3 linked regions of the Schizosaccharomyces pombe genome follow. The protein of the gene in region 1 purifies or fractionates together with the protein of each later gene. This does not show direct contact. Each region holds a gene or a part of one and is shown on either strand. Other genes may lie near its edges.

What was found. Proteins that work in one complex are often made in the same cells at the same time.
Region 2: the proteins of rmn1 (region 1) and tif1 purify together in Schizosaccharomyces pombe (affinity purification with mass spectrometry, with the first as the bait; one large-scale study listed by BioGRID). This does not show direct contact.
Region 3: the proteins of rmn1 (region 1) and iss10 purify together in Schizosaccharomyces pombe (affinity purification with mass spectrometry; one large-scale study listed by BioGRID). This does not show direct contact.

Annotation. Positions count from the first base shown.
Region 1 is NC_003423.3:487,135-496,091, forward strand, and holds rmn1 (MTREC (exosome adaptor) complex RNA-binding subunit Rmn1), read left to right. Parts: upstream 1-2,721; 5' UTR 2,722-2,747; coding exon 2,748-2,777; exon of another isoform or gene 2,778-2,815; coding exon 2,816-2,853; exon of another isoform or gene 2,854-2,943; coding exon 2,944-4,486; intron 4,487-4,540; coding exon 4,541-4,699; 3' UTR 4,700-5,027; downstream 5,028-8,957. Other genes in the region: protein phosphatase regulator Nem2, read left to right, coding at 1,096-1,638; idh2 (isocitrate dehydrogenase (NAD+) subunit 2), read right to left, coding at 5,028-5,134, 5,185-5,949, 6,104-6,152, 6,200-6,346, 6,450-6,521; gamma tubulin complex linker Mto2, read left to right, coding at 7,608-8,801.
Region 2 is NC_003424.3:5,081,657-5,087,531, forward strand, and holds tif1 (translation initiation factor eIF4A Tif1), read left to right. Parts: upstream 1-3,873; 5' UTR 3,874-3,906; coding exon 3,907-5,085; 3' UTR 5,086-5,375; downstream 5,376-5,875. Other genes in the region: RhoGEF for Rho1 Rgf2, read left to right, coding at 1-1,951, 2,007-2,428, 2,473-3,024. UniProt on the Schizosaccharomyces pombe protein: ATP-dependent RNA helicase which is a subunit of the eIF4F complex involved in cap recognition and is required for mRNA binding to ribosome.
Region 3 is NC_003424.3:2,607,044-2,613,502, forward strand, and holds iss10 (protein Iss10), read left to right. Parts: upstream 1-3,982; 5' UTR 3,983-4,056; coding exon 4,057-5,712; 3' UTR 5,713-5,959; downstream 5,960-6,459. Other genes in the region: ptf1 (phosphoric monoester hydrolase), read left to right, coding at 1-146; serine/threonine protein phosphatase PP2A catalytic subunit Ppa1, read left to right, coding at 1,060-1,989; phosphatidylinositol-3,5-bisphosphate binding protein Atg1802, read right to left, coding at 2,426-2,438, 2,479-3,248, 3,305-3,411, 3,486-3,559, 3,618-3,661; SPOM_SPAC7D4.13C (uncharacterized protein), read left to right, coding at 6,253-6,267, 6,340-6,459.

The DNA of each region.
Region 1 (8,957 bases):
TTTAAGAAAAGAAAACTGTTGAAGAATATTTATTTAATGCTTATTTTATTTTTCTGTCTGTTAATGTCTGATATGAATTTTAATGAAACTCATACCGTGTGCGGAGCCAAAAATTTGCAGTCCTATTGACTTCTTTGATTGTTCCCAATTAATTTGGATTTATGGTTAATGTGTAAAAAATCGTTGATGGAATTACGGCGGTTCCGATCGTGAATAGGATAATCGACTTACCCCAACACTCTAGAGTGCGACATTCCTGGCTCGGCTTTTTGGAGTAGAAGATACAAACGAAAATAGAAAATTGATCTATATGTCGTTCCTAAAACTTATGCTTCAATTCTGCAAACACTACTAAGTTTTTTCAGCTTGCAACACGTTAAGCTGCGTAACTTATTTCTGCTACTATTTTACTCGGTATAGGATTGCTGATTGAGTTCTTTATTTCTTTATTTATATATGATCTTTTCGCCAACGTGTTTAAACTAGGGGAGTTTAATTGCTAAATCGGCTAAAAAACTACAATGTAAAAACTTGGCCTATATATTTTTATCCAAACATAAGATTTTTTAAATACAGAATTGATATCTGAGCAGTCATTTAGTAAAAAGATGTCAGTAAAAGCTTTCTAATCCATTGGTCGGAACTTTTTAAGACTTTGATGTTTACCAAATAATGAACACAGTTAACACTCCCTCACTATATTTTGCATCGTTATACAGTATACCAACGTTTACTATCGTTTACTATAGCACATATCGAAGTAGACAGCTGCACACTATTGATATTATAGCTATCGGCGCGTAGCTTTGACATTGACTTTTAGAATCTGCCATCCGATTGATACTTGAATCAGCAAATTAGAAGGGCTGTTCTTTTATTGTTTTAGAATCATCGGCTTGTACTATTACTAATTGAATTAGTTCTTATGTTACGCACATATCTCATTCTGTGGTCTTCATAACGACTTCTTGTAATTGGTGTTGGATATTGTCCAATTATTGTTATCTCCAAAAAGCTTTCTTATATTCTGTTTTTCAAGTTCTTTATATCTTTTTATTCTTTTTCCTACGTATTGTTAAGAGTGAATAAAATGCCATGTCCTCTTATGTGCCCAACACCCTGTCCGTATATCACAACTTGTTAATTTTAGAGGCATCGTTTCGGAAAACATACCTACAGCTTCAAGTTCGTCGTCAAAAGTATATGGCTTTCTATGTCTCACTATTGGTGTGGAACTTTTACTTTGGCTATCGCGTCTTTTATCGCATCTCAAAATACTCGTTGATTGATTTGACTTACAAACTTTGTCTTTTATGCGGAATTGTTACACTTTTGCTCTTTTATTTTTCTGGATTGTATCGGACTACAATAGTATATCCATCACGTTATGTTCAACAAGTCAACAAAGCGATGAGGTTTTTTAACATTCGCCTTGTTATAACTCCTGTCCCGTGGTTCCAGGTGAGAAAGCCTTTGGATTGTGGTGTCCATCTTATATTATCAAGCAAACGATTTGACATATTGGTGATCGAAGGTTGGGAAGCTTTTCGTTCTTCATATTTTGCTTCAATACATAGAAAAAACAATAGCATACAGAGTAACGAGTCCTCTGAATCTCCTTCTTCTAAACAGAACTAGATTTACTTATACCCTTATCCTATTTATAAAGGATGCGATCGTTTATTTCCTTTTCAACGTTGTTAATGCTTTTCATGTTTATACTGTTCTAGTATTTGTCATTTTTCATAACGTAAATTTTGATTAAAATTTTCAGCTATTTTTTTTTTTGCTATCCGTTGTTGCTGGCGCCTTTCGCTATATTATTGATCAGTTATTGTCGTTATACTTTTATTACATACTTACCCGATTTGAATTTATTAGGATACTTTTAAGGACATTTCCTTTTATGTTGGGATATGAGATTGCTTTACAGACCCACTGAAATAGGATTTATCGTTGGATAATTAAAAAAAGGATGTTGATGATTCATTACACATCTTGATCATTTACTTGCCTCATCTTAATTGGAAGGGTTTAAATAAAGGCTTAATTGAAAGTTGCTGTCACTTAACTTCCTTATCTTGTTCTGTCAACTTAAACTATTATCTTTCATTCCCGACTTATAATCTTTCTTTTCTTTCTACATCACCTTTTTTTTTAAAAAATGGGTAAAAAGCGTTTTCGCATGTACATAAGCAAAACTTCTTCTCTTCTTATGTAGAGACTTCCTTTTTTTTTAATTTTCAACTTACTCATGCGGACTATACCGGACGTTCATTAGCTCTCTTGACGAGTTAGGTTTTCAAATAATTTAATATAAATGTAATCACTCCACCGTTAAAATTAACTATTTATAAGTGGTGCTAAAATATAAAAAAGTGCATATAGCTAACACGTTTACTCACTGTTGTGCTGACAATTTAATCAATGAAATAATTGGAGACAAGTGAACTCTTTCGAAACTCTCATAATCGTCAGAGTTTGACTTAAAATACATTGTATATTAGTAGTCTAAATACGAGTAATATTATGCAAACCTTCCTATTCCTTATCTAATGTCGACTACTCAGTTAAATTTTATCCCAGCCAATTGCCCTAGCTAAGACATTTGTTATTATTTTGGTATTATGTTTATTCTTTTTGAACTTTCTGGCTAATTGTTAAAGATTTTACCTTATGTGATCTATATTTTCTTACTGGCTCAACCATGCGTAACGCTCCAACAACCAGCACTTTGCTCCATCACAATGCCGTTGTTCTTAGAAGAACATGCTGAGGTAATTTTATTTTTAAGATGCCGAATTAACGCTTTTAGTATTTGAAAAGATATTTAGAACAGGCGTTGGAGCCAATGTATGTAATTTTTTTTGAGTTGCCAATTTGCGTGATTTTTTTTTTTACACGCTAAAAAATTGTTTATCAATATGCTAACGAAATGACTAGTTCTGATGCTGATGCAAGTGTTTTATCAGATTATGCTATGGCATTGTTAAGGCACGATTCTTCTGAAGAAGAAGTTCGCCAGTTATGCTACTCACAACTAGAAGATTTTTTGCGACAGGAGACAATTCCTTTTGTTGATAAAATTTTTGATGTTTTACGTGAAAAATCTTACTTGGAGGGTGCTTCAAATATGCCGTCAACCGGTATGGTGACTGAAGAAGTTTCAAGGTATTCGCCAACTTCATCAATGATCCCTGCCACCAACAGCATGGAAACCAATTTTAATAATTCTTTACCTGCTGTAGGAAAAACAAACACTTTTCCCTCTCAGGTGCCTAATATGTTTGGACCTCCGTTGTACCATCCAGCAGCCACAGCACCTTCTGAATTCATGCCCAGTATTCCTGGGTTTGGAAACTTACCAAATCCTGCAATGCCTCCCATACCATTCTTACCATTTAATCCTGCGGCGCAGCCTCCTTTCCCTCCCCCATTTAAGATGCGAGGTAAAAGAGGATTTGGCATGCGCCATGAGCATAATAGTGAACTTCGTAGGCATTCTCCTGGTAATCGAAGATTTAATCCATACAAAGCGTATCCCCAACCCCATCTGGGACATCGCTTCTCTCGTAACGCTGGCAATGATCCAACAAGTACTGCTTTAGAAGTGCGAAACATTCCGGAAGAGCATTTTAATGAGGAGAACATTAGGTCCTTTTTTTCAAAGTTCGGTGTATTGGAGAAAGTCGAATTAAATCCGACACATCATTCTTGTGTGTTAGAATTCACTTCCCATGAGGCTGCCAACAATGCTTGGTCCTCGCCTGAGCCCATATTTAACAATCGCTTTATTAAAATATTTTGGTATAATCCGTCAAAGGGATTTCACAATCGACCAAAGAAGTTTGCATCCCATAAATCTCCCACTACTTCCGATTCGTCGAATGTAGAGAGTTCTGAAGATGTCGATCCTGCTTCTTTGTTACAAAACGAAGAGTTTCATAAACTGATTGAAGAAAGGCAAAGGCAGCACGAAGAACGTTTAAAACGCATAAATGCTAATAAAAAGGCACTAGAAGAACTTAACCAAAAAAAGCGCGAGCTTGCACAGCAACAATTAAAAGAACAAGAGTTACTGATGCAAAAAATTAAGGAAACTGACCGTTCAGGAAACAAAAGACTCATGTTGTTAGAAACTCAGCATTCTCTTTTGAAGGCTGAGGCTGATTGCTTAGGGTTACCTGTGAGCAACGTTTCTGAAAGCCCAGCGGCATCTAATGGTTCTCATCATCCTTACGCTTCAGGACTTCCCCAGCGAGGTACCAACACATTTTTCCGTGGCAGAGGTCGCGGACGAGGTGATATGTTTGCGTCAATGTCCATCGATAATCGTCCAACTAAGCTTCGTGTAATAAATGTTTCTCCTGAAAAAAATGAAGCTTTGTTGCAATACTTATTCACTGTTGGAGGATATGAGGAAATTACTGAACCTTCAACTACTGAACGTCTTATCAGTTTTCAGAATAGAAATTCCGCTGAAAAGGTATGTAGCTGATTCTTTCTCTGACAGAAAAAATTTCAAGTTAACAAATTTTAGTTTTTTGGTGGAGTTCGGAACGTTGAAAAACTTCAAGAATTGGAGTTGGCGTGGGTGCCAAAAACAGCTGTTACAACTAATACTACATCCATGGAGACTGGCGAATCTAATACAAGCGACAACATGAACATAGAGGTAGAAGAAGGAAGATGGCGCTAGTTTATTTACTTTTACAAAAGTTTTTCAGAGAATGAATTAATGGGCTGCATTGTATGCGGCTGTCATAAAATATAAGCAACTAATTGATTAATCTTATAGAGTGCAATAAGCATTTCAAAAATGGAGATTTCATATTGAAATATTTGTAACTAACATTTCGATCAATTCGGTTTTTTGATACAAAAGAGTTAATGCTTCCGAATTACAACTCAAATCGTTACACAATTCATTAAAAGTGGTAACAAAAATCGGCTAGGAGAGAAAACTCATGATAAGGAAAGAAACATAAATTCAGTGTTCATAGCAAGAAGTAAACAAAATGGGCATGTTACTTCAGTTTAGAAATAATGGCATCGGTATATTGAACATTGTTTGACTTGCCGCCCAAATCCTTGGTGCGAGCATCGGGATTGTTTGCAAGGGTATCAAAGATAGCTAATGGTAATTAGTAAACAGACAAAATCTTAATTTAGTAAAACACATACCTGATTCGATGCGTTTGGCATAATCATTTAAATTCATGTGCTTCAACATCATTACAGAAGATAACAGTAAAGCAGTAGGGTTGGCTAAACCTTTTCCAGCAATATCAGGGGCAGTACCATGAACAGCTTCAAAGATGGAAGCTTGGTTGCCAATGTTTCCGGAAGGAGTCAAACCAAGACCGCCAATTAAACCAGCGCACATATCAGAAACAATATCACCGTATAAATTGGGCATAACCATAACTGTGTTGTTATAAGGGACAGGATCGGTGACAATCTTCAAGCAGGCGTTATCCAAGATTTCCTCCCTAAGCTCGATATCAGGATATTCAGGTGCAAGCTCCTTGGCGCATTCCAAAAATAAACCGTCAGCCATGCGCATAATGGTAGCCTTGTGGACTACGGTGATGTTGTTCTTGCCAGTTTGGCGAGCATATTGGAATGCATAACGAATAACACGCTCAGATGCTGCGCGAGTAATTAATTTAATCGATTGAACAACGCCTGGTATAACTTCATGCTCGATGCCTGAGTATTCACCCTCAGTGTTCTCACGAATCAAAACGGTATTAACGTTATCATAAGGTGTTTTGTATCCCGTAATAGATACACAGGGACGAACATTGGCAAACAAGCCGAAAGTACGACGCAAAGTAAGGTTCATAGAAACATGACCCTTCCCAATTGGGGTTGCCAATGGACCTTTCAAAGCCACTTTATTTTTCCTAACAGATTCCTTAGCATCATCAGGAATAGTAGTAGTACCTAAACGAATTAGTAAACGTGATTTTCGTGCGCGATAATCTCGAGGAGACATGGAAGGACTTGACAAGCAGGAACAAGCATTGCTGACAAAAACGTATAAAAGAAAGGCCAAACTGCATACAAATCCAACCATCTTCTCTTATACTTGACATACCATTTTTCAAAATAGGATATACTTTTACACGTTCCCATTCGATAGGGACCTACAATACAAGTCGTTAATGACTAAATGACGGATGACTCGACAAACCTTTGCAGCCTTAAATATACGTTCTACAGACTGAGCAATTTCTGGACCAATGCCATCGCCAGCAATCATCGTTACTGTGTAGTTCCCGTTGGCATTCTTTACTCCTTCATATGTCCCAGCGGCAGCCTTCGTTGAAGAAAATCTCTGCTAAAAATAACTCTGTTAATATAATCGATCAAATAATCATGAAAAGACGAGTAAGGCTGCTTAAACCAGCGATTTATCGCTTAGGAGCCAATTCACAACTTACAAAAGAGTAACAGGCGCTTCTTGAAAACGTCCGTAAAGAACCTGCAGTACGTAAAGTAGAAAGCATTGACATTGTTTTTTTATAACTAATGTAGCATGTATGGAGAGTGCAAGATGTCGGACCGTGATATAAACAAAGGATTCCGAGAGTCGTCGCATCATCCTTAATTTGACTTTACCGAATTTTGTGGAGATAGAACGTGGAGTTAAGCAAGGGTAATTGAGTGGAGTTTAACCATTTAGAAAGCCCCTCGAAGCGGAATGAGGAATTGTTATTACATAGCGCTCTTTTTTACTGCATTGTCTATTATTGCGTTATATAGTTTTTAACGATAATTTCAGTAGTACATAATTATTAATGTTGTTTAAAAAACACATCTATTTGGTTCTTGAGGTATATTCAGTAACTAAAGATGTAATTGTCTAAATTGAGAGGATAATTCGACGAATTGGTTTTGCTTGAATTAAAAAAATTGTAATTTTGTAGCTTCACACTGGTGTTATTGATATCTTGACTTTTGTATTGTTCTCAACTGGAAAATTAGTGTTGTCATATACTAGGTGTGCTTTTTTAATTTTTCGGATTATGCTTTATTTTCTCAATTACTCTTCCAAATATATTCATTCATTCAACAAAAAGATGTTTTGCTATTTGTCTTAAATAGTGTAGCATTTTAGAATACGTAGTTCCTATTTCAAACTATCTCAACCATACACTCACTAAAAACAATAACGATTATTGTGTGTTAAAGGCATTTAAAGATTTTTTAGGAATAGTTAAAAAAGCATAGTGACATGTAACGAAGCGTACTGTTTGCCCGCACAGTCGAAGTTGCCGCTTAGAATTAAGCTTCGGTTAATAAAAACTAGCAAGTTATCCTAACGAACTGTGGGAAAAGCTTATTCAGGAAAACTTCGTGGATCCCGTTAAAATACGTTATGATAACTAATAGCGAACTGTCTTGTTGCTGTGTTTTGCAATATTACTTTTAAATAGTATAAGACAGTATGTTAAGTTAGGTTTTCAGAGTGCATACTCTATTCGTTAATTCGTGCTTTCAACTCTTTATCTTTCAAGAGTGCAAGAATCTCTTGCAAATTCGAGCTTGGTCTTGCAACTGTTTATTCTAATCCTCCAGCGTCTTGCTGGTGGTTTCGCATGTCTGAACATAATTACCAGTCTGATAGGGAAGTGGCAGAGGATCCTTTTCTTAATTATGAAGCCTCTGCTAATCAATTATCCTCAAATTCGCGCGAATCTACTCCAAGAGGTTCACCATGGCGCGCTGGTATGAGATCCGCATCTTTAATGACAGAACCTTTAGAAGATTCCATGTATAGCGATAATAATTATTTAGACAATGGGGTCTCTTTTACAAAAGATGAAAATCCTCTTTACTCGCCGTCTTGGCCGAGTTTGGCGGATGCAAACGTGAATTCAATGAAGTCTAATAATGCTATACAGGAGCATAAAGCAGCGAAATTTGTTTCTGAAAAGTCTTTGGAAAAAGTATCGACTGCAGATAATAACCTTGTGCTTCAGGAGCTTGAAAATCTCCGAGAACGCTTAAATCAAGTAGAGCTTCAACTCAGTGAGCGACCCTCTTCCTACTTAGGCTATCATAACAATCTTAGTCCATATCGTTCTCCTAACAGTTACCCTTCTCTTTTACCCTCTACTCATTCACCTCACTCACCGGCGCCGCTAAGCACGATGCAAACGGCTCTTATGCGGCTTCGCACTTATCATCCTTCGCCCATCATTTTAAAGCCCGTAGAGCAAGCTGTAAACCATGCAATCACCTTGGTAAACACCTCTCCATCGAGTGTGGTGGATGCGTTATGCCGAAGCCTTGCCGAATTGTGTCTTGGCTTGGTGCAAGAAGCGATCGATGCATCTATTTTGAGTCAACAGGAAAGCTCAAACTCTTTAGATCTTGTCCGTCATACACCACCATTGAATTATACCAGTTCTGTTGATTCTTCACCACAACGTATGGCCTCTGATAGTTATGGTAGGCCTTCTCTGCATTTAAATGACCCCTTTCCATCAGTTGATCTTCAATCAAATGAACTTTCTCATCATAATGTTAGAACAACTCTCTTTTCTGATGATTCCCGATTTCATTCAAAAATTCATACACATTCTACTCCTCCTTCTCAAATGTATAGTGCTGCATCTCATTTCCGGTACCGTAGCGATCCATCAACCCGTCATGTCTCGAATTCTACAAACAAATCGAGCTTGCATCCATCACCAACGTCTTTGCGAGTTGCTCATCCTATTATCCCCCAGAGGGCGTCTCCAGCATCACAGTCTTTTCCTTCTCTTCAAGACACTCCTTCCCCCTAGTTCGGCCTATTACAAGTTTAATTTTGAATCAATTTTTCTTTGTGTTTATCAAGTAAATCAGGTTCTTCTCATACATGTAAGTTCATACAAACATTGATTGAGGAGTGCTATCATTTAATTTGTCGTCCCTCTCGTACAAGTTTTTATTTTTTTTAT
Region 2 (5,875 bases), on another chromosome or scaffold:
ATCGCCCCTTCGCATTCCAATTCTACCTCATCTCGTCGCCCTTATATACATCCGGCTTTTCTTTCTCAAGTCGCCGTTGAGTTCCGAAAGCGTCTTAACATCGGTGACCGTGTGAAGGATGGTCTTCTTTATAAAGATGCCTTTCTTGGATCGGAAGCTGTCGATGTATTGATGCATATAGTTCGGACGACTGACAGGAATTTGGCGTTACTTTTAGGAAGAGCCCTGGATTCGCAAAAGATGTTTCATGACGTTACTTACTCTCATAGACTTCGCGACTCGCTCAAGGAAGTTTACCAGTACCGACGTATCATTTCTCCTCCTCCTGGTCTCTCCTCGATGGATTCCAATGGATCGTCGATCGAAAATAACTTTCTCTACACAAAAAGAAGAGCGAACACGTCTGATTCATTTGACTCTGTTTTATCTGATTCTTCTACGACACCTACCATCTCCTCGTCTGTACAGGTAAATTCTTTAGCTTTCATCACCTCATCCCTAAGCGCAATTACTAAGGAGCCTGAAGCTCCTGAAACCGAATACAATCCTCATGGAGTGTTTACTCTTTTAACGGAATGCTACTCCTCTACATGTTCTCGTAATCGCCTTTGCTATTCTATATCTTGCCCACGTCGACTAGAGCAGCAGGCCCGTCTCCATTTGAAGGTCCAACCTGTATTAAGTGGGGGATCAACTTCGATTACAGATAAACAAGAGGAAGATCATCGTTTATGGTCGGAAAATGTTCCTAAGCAAGTTGTAGACCAGATCGATGTCCGTGAATGGAAAAGACAGGAAATCATTTTTGAGGTTATTTACACAGAACGGGACTTCGTCAGAGACCTAGAGTATATACGTGACTTTTGGATTAAGCCTCTTTCAACCTCAAATGTAATACCAGAAAACAACCGACAACAATTTATACGTTGCGTTTTTCATAATATCATGCAAATCCATGCTGTCAATTCTCGTTTGTCAAATGCTCTAAACCGTACTCAAACTCTGCAACCTGTAGTTAACACAATTGGTGATCTTTTCTTAGATTATGTTCCTAAATTTGAGCCTTTTATAAAATATGGTGCCAATCAGGCTATTGCCAAGTTTGAATTTGAGCGTGAAAAAAGTACGAATAGGAATTTTGCGAATTATGTTCATGAAGTGGAAAGATTACGAGAGTCTAGAAAACTAGAACTTAATGGTTATTTGACCAAGCCTACGACTCGCCTTGCGAGGTATCCGCTACTATTAAGTGGAGTTCTTAAGTACACTGATAAAGATAATCCTGATACGGAAAACATTCCTCGTGTAATCGAAATGATTCGTGAATTTCTTACTAAGCTTAACTATGAAACAGGGAAGACTGAAAATAGACTCTCGTTGTTACAGTTAAACGAACAGCTTTCCTGCAGCCCTGCGGATCGAGCAAAATTAACATTGTTTGATCCATCTCGCTTATTGATTTTCAAAGGCGTCGTCAAGCTAAAAGCCAGTAGTTATTCGAATGGGGACACTGAAAACGACATTCACATGTTTTTACTGGACAATTTTCTCTTGTTGTGTAAGATAAAGATTCAAATGAAAAGAAGAGTTCATAAACTGCATCTCAGGCCATTACCTTTAGAATTGTTGTCGATTTCTTACATCGAAGACTCGCCATCGAGAGGTAGCCTTCCGCGTCGACCATCTTCTGCTTTGTTAACTAATCCAATTTCAATTACAAAAAGTAATCCACCTCCTGTTAAAGCATACGGTTTGCAGTTAGTATTTATTGGAGCCCGTGGTTTTTCTATAAGTCTTTATCTCAATACACTGATTGCTAGAGACCAATGGAAACAACACATTGAGAAACAGCAAGATATCATTCGAAAGCGTCATTTGGTATTTGAAAGTCGAGGCATATGTTGTCAGTCCTGGTTTACCGGCAACAAGTTATTATGTGCCGTTGCCTATGGTAAGTATAATAAACAATATGTTAAAGAAGTAAATGTTTGTTAACAGCTCTTTAGATGCGGGCCGTAAATTACTATTTGGAACTTACAAGGGACTATATATCTCTTCTCGAAAAAGTAATAATGGCAGTTGTCTTGAACCCATTTTCAAGCTGCAATTACCAAATATCTCTCAACTAGATGTAATTGAGGAACATAACGTTCTATTGCTTTTAGCCGAGAAGATTTTGTACGAGTTACCTCTGGACGCTCTTGATTCAGTAGAACAAATTAATTCAAAGTCTTTGCGACGTGTAACAGGTCATGTTAGTTTCGTCAAAACAGGTTTTTGTATGCAAAGAATTTTAGTCTGTGCGGTAAAGTCCACCGTTTTAAATACTACATTGAGGATTTATGAGGCTGATCGTGCCTTGAAGAACAAAAAGACCCAGTCTCTAAAAAAGCCTTTTGGCAATCAAGCAACTTTGAAAATATTTACTGTGAGTTACCTCGTCGTTCTTTCTCTATACTAACATTTTTTTAGGAGGTACAAATGCCGATGGAAGCTTTGTCCGTTCACTTTCTCAAGACAAAGCTTTGTGTGGGAAGTTTTAAGGGATTCGATATTATAAGTTTGGAAAATGCCGTATTCCAATCTTTGTTAAATCCTGCTGATACTTCATTTAGATTTTTAGAAAAGAGGGAAGATATTCGACCGATTGCCATGTTTCGCTTAAGAGGAGAATTTCTCCTCTGTTATTCAGATTTTGCATTCTTTGTTAATACGAATGGCTGGAAATCTAGGCAATCCTGGATGATTAATTGGGAGGGCCAACCTCAAGGTTGCGCTTTGTGTTATCCATATATCCTGGCATTTGAGCCGGACTTCATTGAAATTAGGAATGCCGAAACAGCCGAACTCGTTCAAATCATAATGGGACAAAACATTAAACTTTTAACTGATGGCCGAGGGTTAATTAGTGAAGGAGGTGAAATACTTTACAGCACTGAGCCAATTCCATTTTCATCTGGAGAAAATCCTATAGTTCATTCTTTAATACTTCCTCCAGCAAATGCAGCAGGTCCTGCACTTTAGATCGTTTATGACAGTACTGTCAACATTTGTGCGAACTTCTCCTTGAGCATTTTGGAATACTATTTACTACTCCGGACATCTTTTGCATGCCACATCAATTGATTATAATATATGCTATTACAATCTAAGCTTCAAGAATCTATGACCCTGCTTCATCTCTTTAAGGAATAACTTTAAAAATTCCTACGTACATATATTTACTATGGTTGAGATAATGCTATTGACGATTGTGTGTTTTATTAAACGAATTGTGTCTTTTTCAATTTGCTCAACATTGCACGCTGTTTTTGTTACGAATCATTCTTTTTCCATAGATTTATTATGCATTTCTTTAGTCAACTAATAAACAACCTCTCTGCATTCAGCATATTCATTCATTATCTTTTATTGTGATTGTTTAAAATACTCATGTGTAATCGATAACTTTTCATACTATTGAAGATAACATGAACAGTGTTACAATAATAAAAAATGCTTTTATATGCATTCCAAACTCCTTAACATTTTTTATGTTTTAGCATTCACCAAATATTACCACGTAAAATACACTTTTTCGCAACGAGTTGCTTATCTGTATTAAACAGCATTAACGCAGGCTTCGATAGAGTGTGCAGGAGTTTATCGCCACGTTCAGTAGGGTTTTTCTTGCTACATCATTTTTTAGAAGACATCTAAAATCTTAAAAGTAAAGTGTGTACATAAATGTTTTTATAATTTTTTTAAATAGATTTTTCAGTAAAAGTCTGTGTATTTAAAGTACTAAAATAATCAGGAATTATTACAATTTTTCAGGTGTGTGACTGTGTGTTAGAGAAAATATTTATTACAACCCTTCAACTTTTTTTCCACAACCCACTCACCTAGCTAAGCAAGATTGCTAAAATGGTAGACCAACTGGAGGATTCGGTTATTGAAACCAACTACGATGAGGTTATTGACACCTTCGACGACATGAATTTGAAGCCTGAGCTTCTCCGTGGTATTTATGCCTACGGTTTTGAGCGTCCTTCTGCCATTCAGCAAAGAGCCATTATGCCCATTTTGGGAGAGCGTGATGTCCTTGCTCAAGCTCAATCTGGTACTGGTAAGACTGCTACCTTCTCAATTTCTGTTTTGCAGAAGATTGACACTAGCTTGAAGCAATGCCAAGCTCTTATCCTTGCTCCTACCCGTGAGCTTGCTCAACAAATCCAAAAGGTTGTTGTTGCTTTAGGCGATCTCATGAATGTTGAATGCCATGCTTGTATTGGTGGTACTCTTGTTCGTGATGATATGGCTGCCTTGCAAGCTGGTGTTCACGTTGTTGTTGGTACACCAGGTCGTGTTCACGACATGATTCAACGTCGTGCTCTTCCTACCGATGCCGTCCAAATGTTTGTTCTTGATGAGGCTGATGAAATGTTGTCCCGTGGTTTCAAGGACCAAATTTACGACATTTTCCAACTTTTGCCTCCTACTGCTCAAGTTGTTCTTCTTTCTGCCACCATGCCTCAAGATGTTTTGGAAGTCACCACCAAATTTATGCGTGATCCCATTCGTATCCTTGTTAAGAAAGATGAGCTTACCTTGGAAGGTATCAAGCAATTCTATGTTGCCGTTGAAAAGGAAGAGTGGAAGCTTGACACTCTTTGCGATCTTTATGAAACCGTCACTGTTACTCAAGCCGTTATTTTCTGTAATACCCGTAGAAAGGTCGATTGGCTTACCGAGCAGCTCACTGAGCGTGATTTTACCGTCTCCTCCATGCACGGTGATATGGACCAAGCTCAACGTGATACTTTGATGCATGAGTTCCGTACTGGTTCTTCTCGTATTCTTATCACCACCGATCTTCTTGCTCGTGGTATCGATGTCCAACAAGTCTCCTTGGTTATCAACTATGACTTACCTGCTAACAGAGAAAACTACATTCACCGTATTGGTCGTGGTGGTCGTTTCGGTCGTAAGGGTGTTTCCATTAACTTTGTTACCAACGACGATGTTCGCATGATGCGTGAGATTGAACAATTCTACAATACACACATTGAGGAAATGCCTATGAACATTGCTGACTTGATTTAAAAAATACAAAAGTCCTTTCTTCTCTTTGTTCTAGATATGGAACGCTCCGTGATTGCTCTTCTCGCAACCCGGCAAACCTCCCGCAACTTAATTTATCTGCTTTTCTTTGCCCATGTTTTTAATGCTTCTTTTATCTGTGCCGGTTGATAGCTGCTCACCATATGGTTTTTTGTGAGTCGTGTTAGTGTTTGCTGAGAAAGGATTTTTTTTTTCGGCTACGCTGTTTATTCATTAGGTCACAAAATAAAAGGCTGGATTTGGTTGATTTACATATATTTACTCTTCTTTTGAGCCTCGTGTAGCTGTTCTGTGATTACTTTTATAAATGTGTTGTAGTTTGGTTAGAAGGTTTGTCGTTTTTTTGTTTTTTGGTAAAACTAAATGAGTGAATAGAGGATGTCAATCTGTATTTTGGATTGAACTTTTATTTACTGCGTATACCTTTGTGGAATTAATTTTTTTGCTCAGAGCTAACGTATTTGTGTTAACCGTAACTGTCCAGTCGTACTTTTGTAAGGAATTAGGAAGTTCCTTTTGCTAAAAGTTAAATGGTCTGTAGTAATAAACAATTCTGCTAGGTAAAAGTTATTATTAATCATTGATCCATTAACCTATTATATTCGCTATGTTTATATTAACTGTGAGATTAAAGGTTGCATCACTTTACGCTCTCAAAAACGTAGCTTTAAACTGCAAACATTATTTGACTAGTTTTAAAGAGTTTGACTTTTAAGTCAATGTAATGAAAGAAAAGAAGAAAACAATGTTTTCCCTGCATCAACAGAGTTAG
Region 3 (6,459 bases), on another chromosome or scaffold:
GTGCTGCGAAGGAAACAGAACACTTGTTTGCCAAGAAAGGACGTGATTTAATTAAATATTGTGAAAGGGAGAAAATTTCTTTCTCTGAATTCGAAACCTTTGCTGATATCCATAAAGATTTGCAAAAATTATTCTTTAGCAGTTAAATCTGAATAATACCTAAGAAGTTTTCGTACTTCAACATTTTTATACCTAAAGTTGATAGATATTTGTTATCAGCGCCTCGAAACTTAGTTTCAAGCAGGTCCTCATAGCAATTTAAATGCATCATTCACCAACGGTTCGATTAGTTTGGGTTGTTAGAAGCAATGATTTAACATAATTTGTATTTATATACTCATCCATTTGCGAGTCTTGTATGAAAAATCCTATATCATATCAGTCCGTAAGTGGTCGCATTGCTACAATATCTCTTTATTTTTTTTAAGAAAGAAAATAAAGAGATATTAAATTTTGCGTCTTTTGGTCGTGAGATCGCCGAAATAAGGTAGCGAGTATAACATAATGTAGATCACGCATATTGTTATATTTTGGTTTGGTAAAGTTACTCAAAGTCAGGAAACTTGTAATGATGTTTTAAGGGGCTTGCAGAAAAAATTGCTATTACGAAATCCATGTCTGTAATATTTTGGTTATTAATAAATTGAAATAAAATTTAAAACATGAAATATTGTGACTTTATGTATCCTGTCTACTACCATACCTTTCAACCTTCATACAAATTTTCCCGTACTCGCATCATTTTCTTTCTTCACCTAACTCCCCACCGTGTCTGTAAAACATAATATTTCTCTTTCCCACATACGAACGAATAAATAATAAAATACAGTATATGTACAGTAAACGTACCTCAGACACCATTATTTTGTCAAGAAAGTGAATAAGCTTACAATACCCCCGTCATCCAGTGAATTCGTAAGTGGGAAGTTGAAAAACGCATGCTCAACGCAGGATAGCATACAAACGGAAAAGCCCTTATGGATTTTTCTGTGGATGCTTTTCTTTTTAATTAAAAATTTAGTCGTTTATTAACTATTGCTTTAAGTTTTTTTCAACAAGATGTCTGTCTCTGGAAAAATTGGAGAGGTCGATCGTTGGATTGAACAGTTGAGTCGATGCGAACCTCTTTCAGAGGAAGATGTCATTCAAATGTGTGATCTCGCAAAAGAGGTACTTTCTGTAGAATCAAACGTTCAAAGCGTCCGATGCCCTGTAACGGTTTGTGGTGATATTCATGGACAATTCCATGACTTAATGGAGTTGTTCAATATTGGCGGCCCTTCACCTGATACAAATTATTTGTTTATGGGAGATTATGTTGACAGAGGATATCACAGTGTAGAAACAGTTTCTCTACTGATTGCTTTTAAAATTCGATATCCCCAGCGTATAACAATATTACGTGGAAACCATGAATCTAGGCAAATTACACAAGTTTATGGATTTTATGATGAATGCCTTAGAAAGTATGGAAATGCGAATGTTTGGCAGTACTTTACAGATCTTTTTGACTATTTGCCTCTCACCGCCCTAATTGAAGATCGAATTTTTTGCCTTCACGGAGGTCTTTCTCCTAGTATTGATACACTTGACCATGTTCGTATATTAGATCGTGTGCAAGAGGTTCCTCATGAAGGTCCGATATGCGACTTGTTATGGTCAGATCCTGATGACCGACCTGGTTGGGGTATTTCTCCTCGAGGTGCTGGGTATACGTTTGGCCCGGATATTGCTGAAGCATTTAACCATAATAACGGTTTAGATTTAATAGCAAGAGCTCATCAGCTAGTTATGGAAGGTTATAATTGGACTACAAACCATAATGTTGTTACTATTTTTTCTGCTCCCAATTATTGTTATCGATGTGGAAACCAAGCAGCCATTATGGGAATTGATGACCACATAAATTACGCATTTATCCAATATGATACTGCTCCCCGAAAGGAGGAATTACATGTCACCAGAAGAACACCCGATTACTTCTTATAAGTCATCGTATGTTTTACTTTCTTCTTGGACTTGTTAATAGCTGGAATTTTTCATGGTTGGATTTTAGCGTTGTCAACGTGCCGCTAAAAATTTACTTTAATTTTATGGGTTTCTAATAGAATGTTGTTATCTTCGAATTTTTAATTCTCCTGTTTCGGTACAAATATTGAATTTATGGAATGCATATAAAATTTATATAGGATATATGATGCACTTGTAAGGTGTCTACCGTAATGATAATTTTTCACATCTGTACCGGTGTATAATATATTAGTGAAACACCAACTTATCGACATTAACATTTTAATAAATTATCTACAAAGGTCTAAACATAAATGATAGCATGTTCAGTAAATAAAAAAAAAACATAAGACCATGAAAGCTAAAACATTGTGAAGCTGATGTATGAGTAAATTTAAAACTTGTGCGCAAAAAGTTAATCGTCAAAGCTAGATATGTTAATAATCGAAAATTTAACAAACAGCTTACATGTAACGCTCAAGTAAAGCACAATTTCCTCCATTTTTAAGATTTACTGCGAACCGATAATAGTGTCCTGAATAAGAAGCTACTTGTATGTGCGGACCGCTGCTCGAAAAAATTATTTTTCCATAGAAAGAAGCTTCAGGAATCTTAGCAGTTGCAAATTCTTTCCTAGTGTCCCAAACTTTTGCTACATTTGAAGTTAAATATTTTGACCAAGAAGATGACACAGTTACGGAAGATGTAGGAGACGAATTCGGATCCGATGGTTGCTTAGAGATTTTGAAAACGTGAATAGTACCATTTTCAGAAGCACAAGCCAGAAAAGGCTCAACTGGGTGAAATGAGATAGATACAATGGATGCAGGTATATATCCCCTGCGCAATTCTGTCACCAATTCACCATCACTAGTTGTTATAACACGGATTACAGTTCCCTTTGCGGATGCAGTCGCAATCAAATGTCCACGCGGATGAAAGTCAACTACTTGGACAGCGGAAGAATGGCAATGAATCAATGTGACGGGTATTGCAGTATCCAATGAGGCTAAATAAATATCACCAGGGTTGGTCGGTGAATTATATGCAACATAATTCTCATGAACAGCAAAAGCTATAACATTTCCTTTCGAGGTATTTAGAGTATTAATTAATTCCATGTTTTTTAGATTATATACGTAAATACTCCCTTTAATTAAAACAACTAAACGATTCCATGTGAAACGTACACTTAGCACAGGACTCGGATAAAATATTCGGCATAAAACGATATCTCTCTAAAAATATGGGTTAAAATTAAGAAATCAATGCAGAATCTCAGTTAACTAATTACCTTGATGTCAACCAATTTTAGTAACCTCGTCGACTCAGGGGAAATATTCACGAAAGCAAGTAGAGAAGATTCATAAAGCATTTCACAAATACTTGCCCCATTGGCTTCTACAATCAGTAAGTTATAAGTCGTGTAAGATGGGCTTGTGTTTCCACTTCTCGGAAATTCATTGACAGCTTACTTTTTGAAAAGCACAGGGTAAACGGATTGGAGCGATAAACTTGATAGCCATTCTCAGAACCAATTGATAAAAAGCTAAATTTAGCAGTCAGTACAAAGATTGCACAAAATCTATTTTATGTGTGCCACTTACCCACGATCTTGATTCCACGAACAGTAAAGGATAATCGATGGCATTTCTCTTAAATCGACTGTTAATTTATTTAGTAGTTCACATTCACCCCTGTCTTAATACAATTGCTGATCACGTTCAATGGTAAAAGTAAAACAGATTTGTGCTAAGGCAGTGTGCGTAATTGAAGCAAAAAATAATGTGATTCGTACAATGCAAAAGCTTAACTTTGTAGTATCCAGAATATAAAAGAACCCATTTGAGCCTTTAGCAATTTTGATTAATGAATGTTTTTGTTATGTTTGTATTATGCAAGATAATATATACAGTGGTGCAGCGCTCCTTAATGGTCACCTCTACGCACATTCAAGAGCGTATATCTTGGCAACATCCAAATGTTGAATAAAACTTTTTTTGGGAATTCATGAATTTTTATTGTTTTGGTTAAATTTAAATATTAATGGATGCCGTTGAACCTTCTGTGGAGAAGGAATACAAAAAAATAATTTCTTTTAGAGATACTGTGTTTGAAGGGAAACATCAACAATTTTTGGTTCCGAACAATGTTCGTTTAAAATTTTTAAGAGATAGATTACATAAATCTTTAAAAAATTTTGATTCTGTTAAACGGAAAGTCGAAATTGCAAATGATGAAGGTAATAACAAACTCCTGAAATCATCACCCAAAGCACAAACCAGAGATGAAAATACTCCTTCTGAATTTAAGAATGGAGGTTTTAGTAACAGAGAATCTATGTCCGAAAACTGTTTTTCTAAATCATCTACTAATTTACCACGGCTAGACATTAACCGTGATTTTAATTCCTTACTTAATAGTCAAACAAAACCTGAAGCCACTGGTTTGATGAAAGAGGATATTACTCCCGTTGTAAACACTAGCAAACAATCTTCTACTGGGACTCAAGAGGAGTCCTCAAAACCGGAAAAATCTAATAAATTGTTAGCAAAGAGTACTTTATCTTTGTATGGGAATCAAGCTTTTAATCCTTCTTCAGTTCTTCCTAGCAATTCTTCATCAACGCCTAAGGAAAATAAAAAAAATGTGAATAAAGAGACATATCAACCGAACACTTTTCGCCGTAGTCCGTTGAAAAATGATACTGGATCAGTGGAGTTATCAAACCTGTATATGCCGTCTCCACCATCATCTGCGCTTCCCGTATCGCTTGTGTCAGCTCCTTCTCCTCCGAGGGCAACTAACGTTGCAGTCCCGTGTCTTAAACATTTGGAATCGAGTGAGCAGGGCAATAACCTACTTATTAACAAAGCTTTTACTTCTCCTCGCCTTCCTTCACCTCCCCAGTCAACAAGACCTAGCTCTACTAGGTTTCCTTCGGTTCCTTTATCAGATGAAAAAAACTCAATTGTCTCCGTAAAAAACGAAGAGCCGTCTGTCATTCTGGGAAATCAATCACCAATTTCGGATTTGCATCCGTATTCTCCATCTTGGATCCCCTATCCAAAGGAATTGCAATCGCTACAAGTCAATCGAATACCTGAGTTGTCCTTGGAGAACAATGTCATGTCAACTCGGGATTATAAGGATATAATGCCTCACCCTCGTCCTTCTGCTGTCCTTTTAGATAAACCGGTTTCTTTAGATCAAACTTCTCATCCTTTCCCTCATCAAAATACTTATATTCTACCTCCGGGGATAAGGAATTCTGTAGACTATGACGGCACTTTTCTTTCCCGTAAATCGCTTCCTCCTTATAATGGCATTCATCGTCTTCATGAGAGCCCTTCTCAGTTTTCAAATCAATCAAGATATAATTGGGAGCCAATTTTAGAAAATCGCTCCCTGCTCCATTTGAATCGTCCGCCTCCTATTGAAACGCACTATTCATACGAATCTAACAATTCATCGTTTTCTCCGTATTACCATAAACGGCATAGACAGATTTCTCCATACTACCCCACTTCCTCAGTTTATGGAGTTTATGAAAGTCCGCCTCACATGTCTGATTCTCGTATTTCTCGGCAGCATATGCCTTTAACGCATACTACTTATGAGCCTTCTGCGCCTTATTATAACGACTATGAATTAGCAGAGGAAATTGAGAGGCGTCGTCATCATAGCTTTTATGATTATTAGCTATACTCTTCCGTAAGTGCGCGCAACAATTTAAAAATTGCTTGGCGGAATATTTGAATTTGCATGTTTTTGTTTTAACTTATAAAGAAAATTAAGTACCTTTAGTACTGGTAATGTTTGATGTACATTTATTATAGTAGATAGAATATTCATGTTGCATAAATTGGTTTCGCACTTTCAGTTAACATTTTCAAATTCATTTATACATAAATACTTTTTTAGATGATTAATAAGAGGCGTTTCATAAATAGTATAAGTACTTTGTAAGCCTATTCTAATGGATGTGAATAAACAAAGAGACTATGGATTATGTGAATAGTTATATTACTTTCTTATTCGATAATCAAATTTTAAAGCTCCCAAATGCAAGATTATTGAAGAAATTTTGAAAAAGTTTCTTTAGTTAACATTAGCATGTAAAAGACACATAAACCCTAATTGACTGTAACATAAGAGACCTTTTACTTACGTCTACAGCGATTATTCTACTGGACTTAATAAAAGCAAAATTCGGACGGTCGAAACAACTCATTTAGACGTATGAGTCTATTTATTGTAGGTTAGCTTTTTGAATGAATATTACATATCATTATTTTTCTCTTTCTTTCTCTAACTACTAAAACCTAGGGTACTCATAACATCAAAAACTCAGCAATACAACTTTTAAAGACGAAACTGAAAAATGAATTTTTAAAGGGCGTTAAATGTATTACTAAATATCCCGAAAATGCACATAGCATTTTTAAA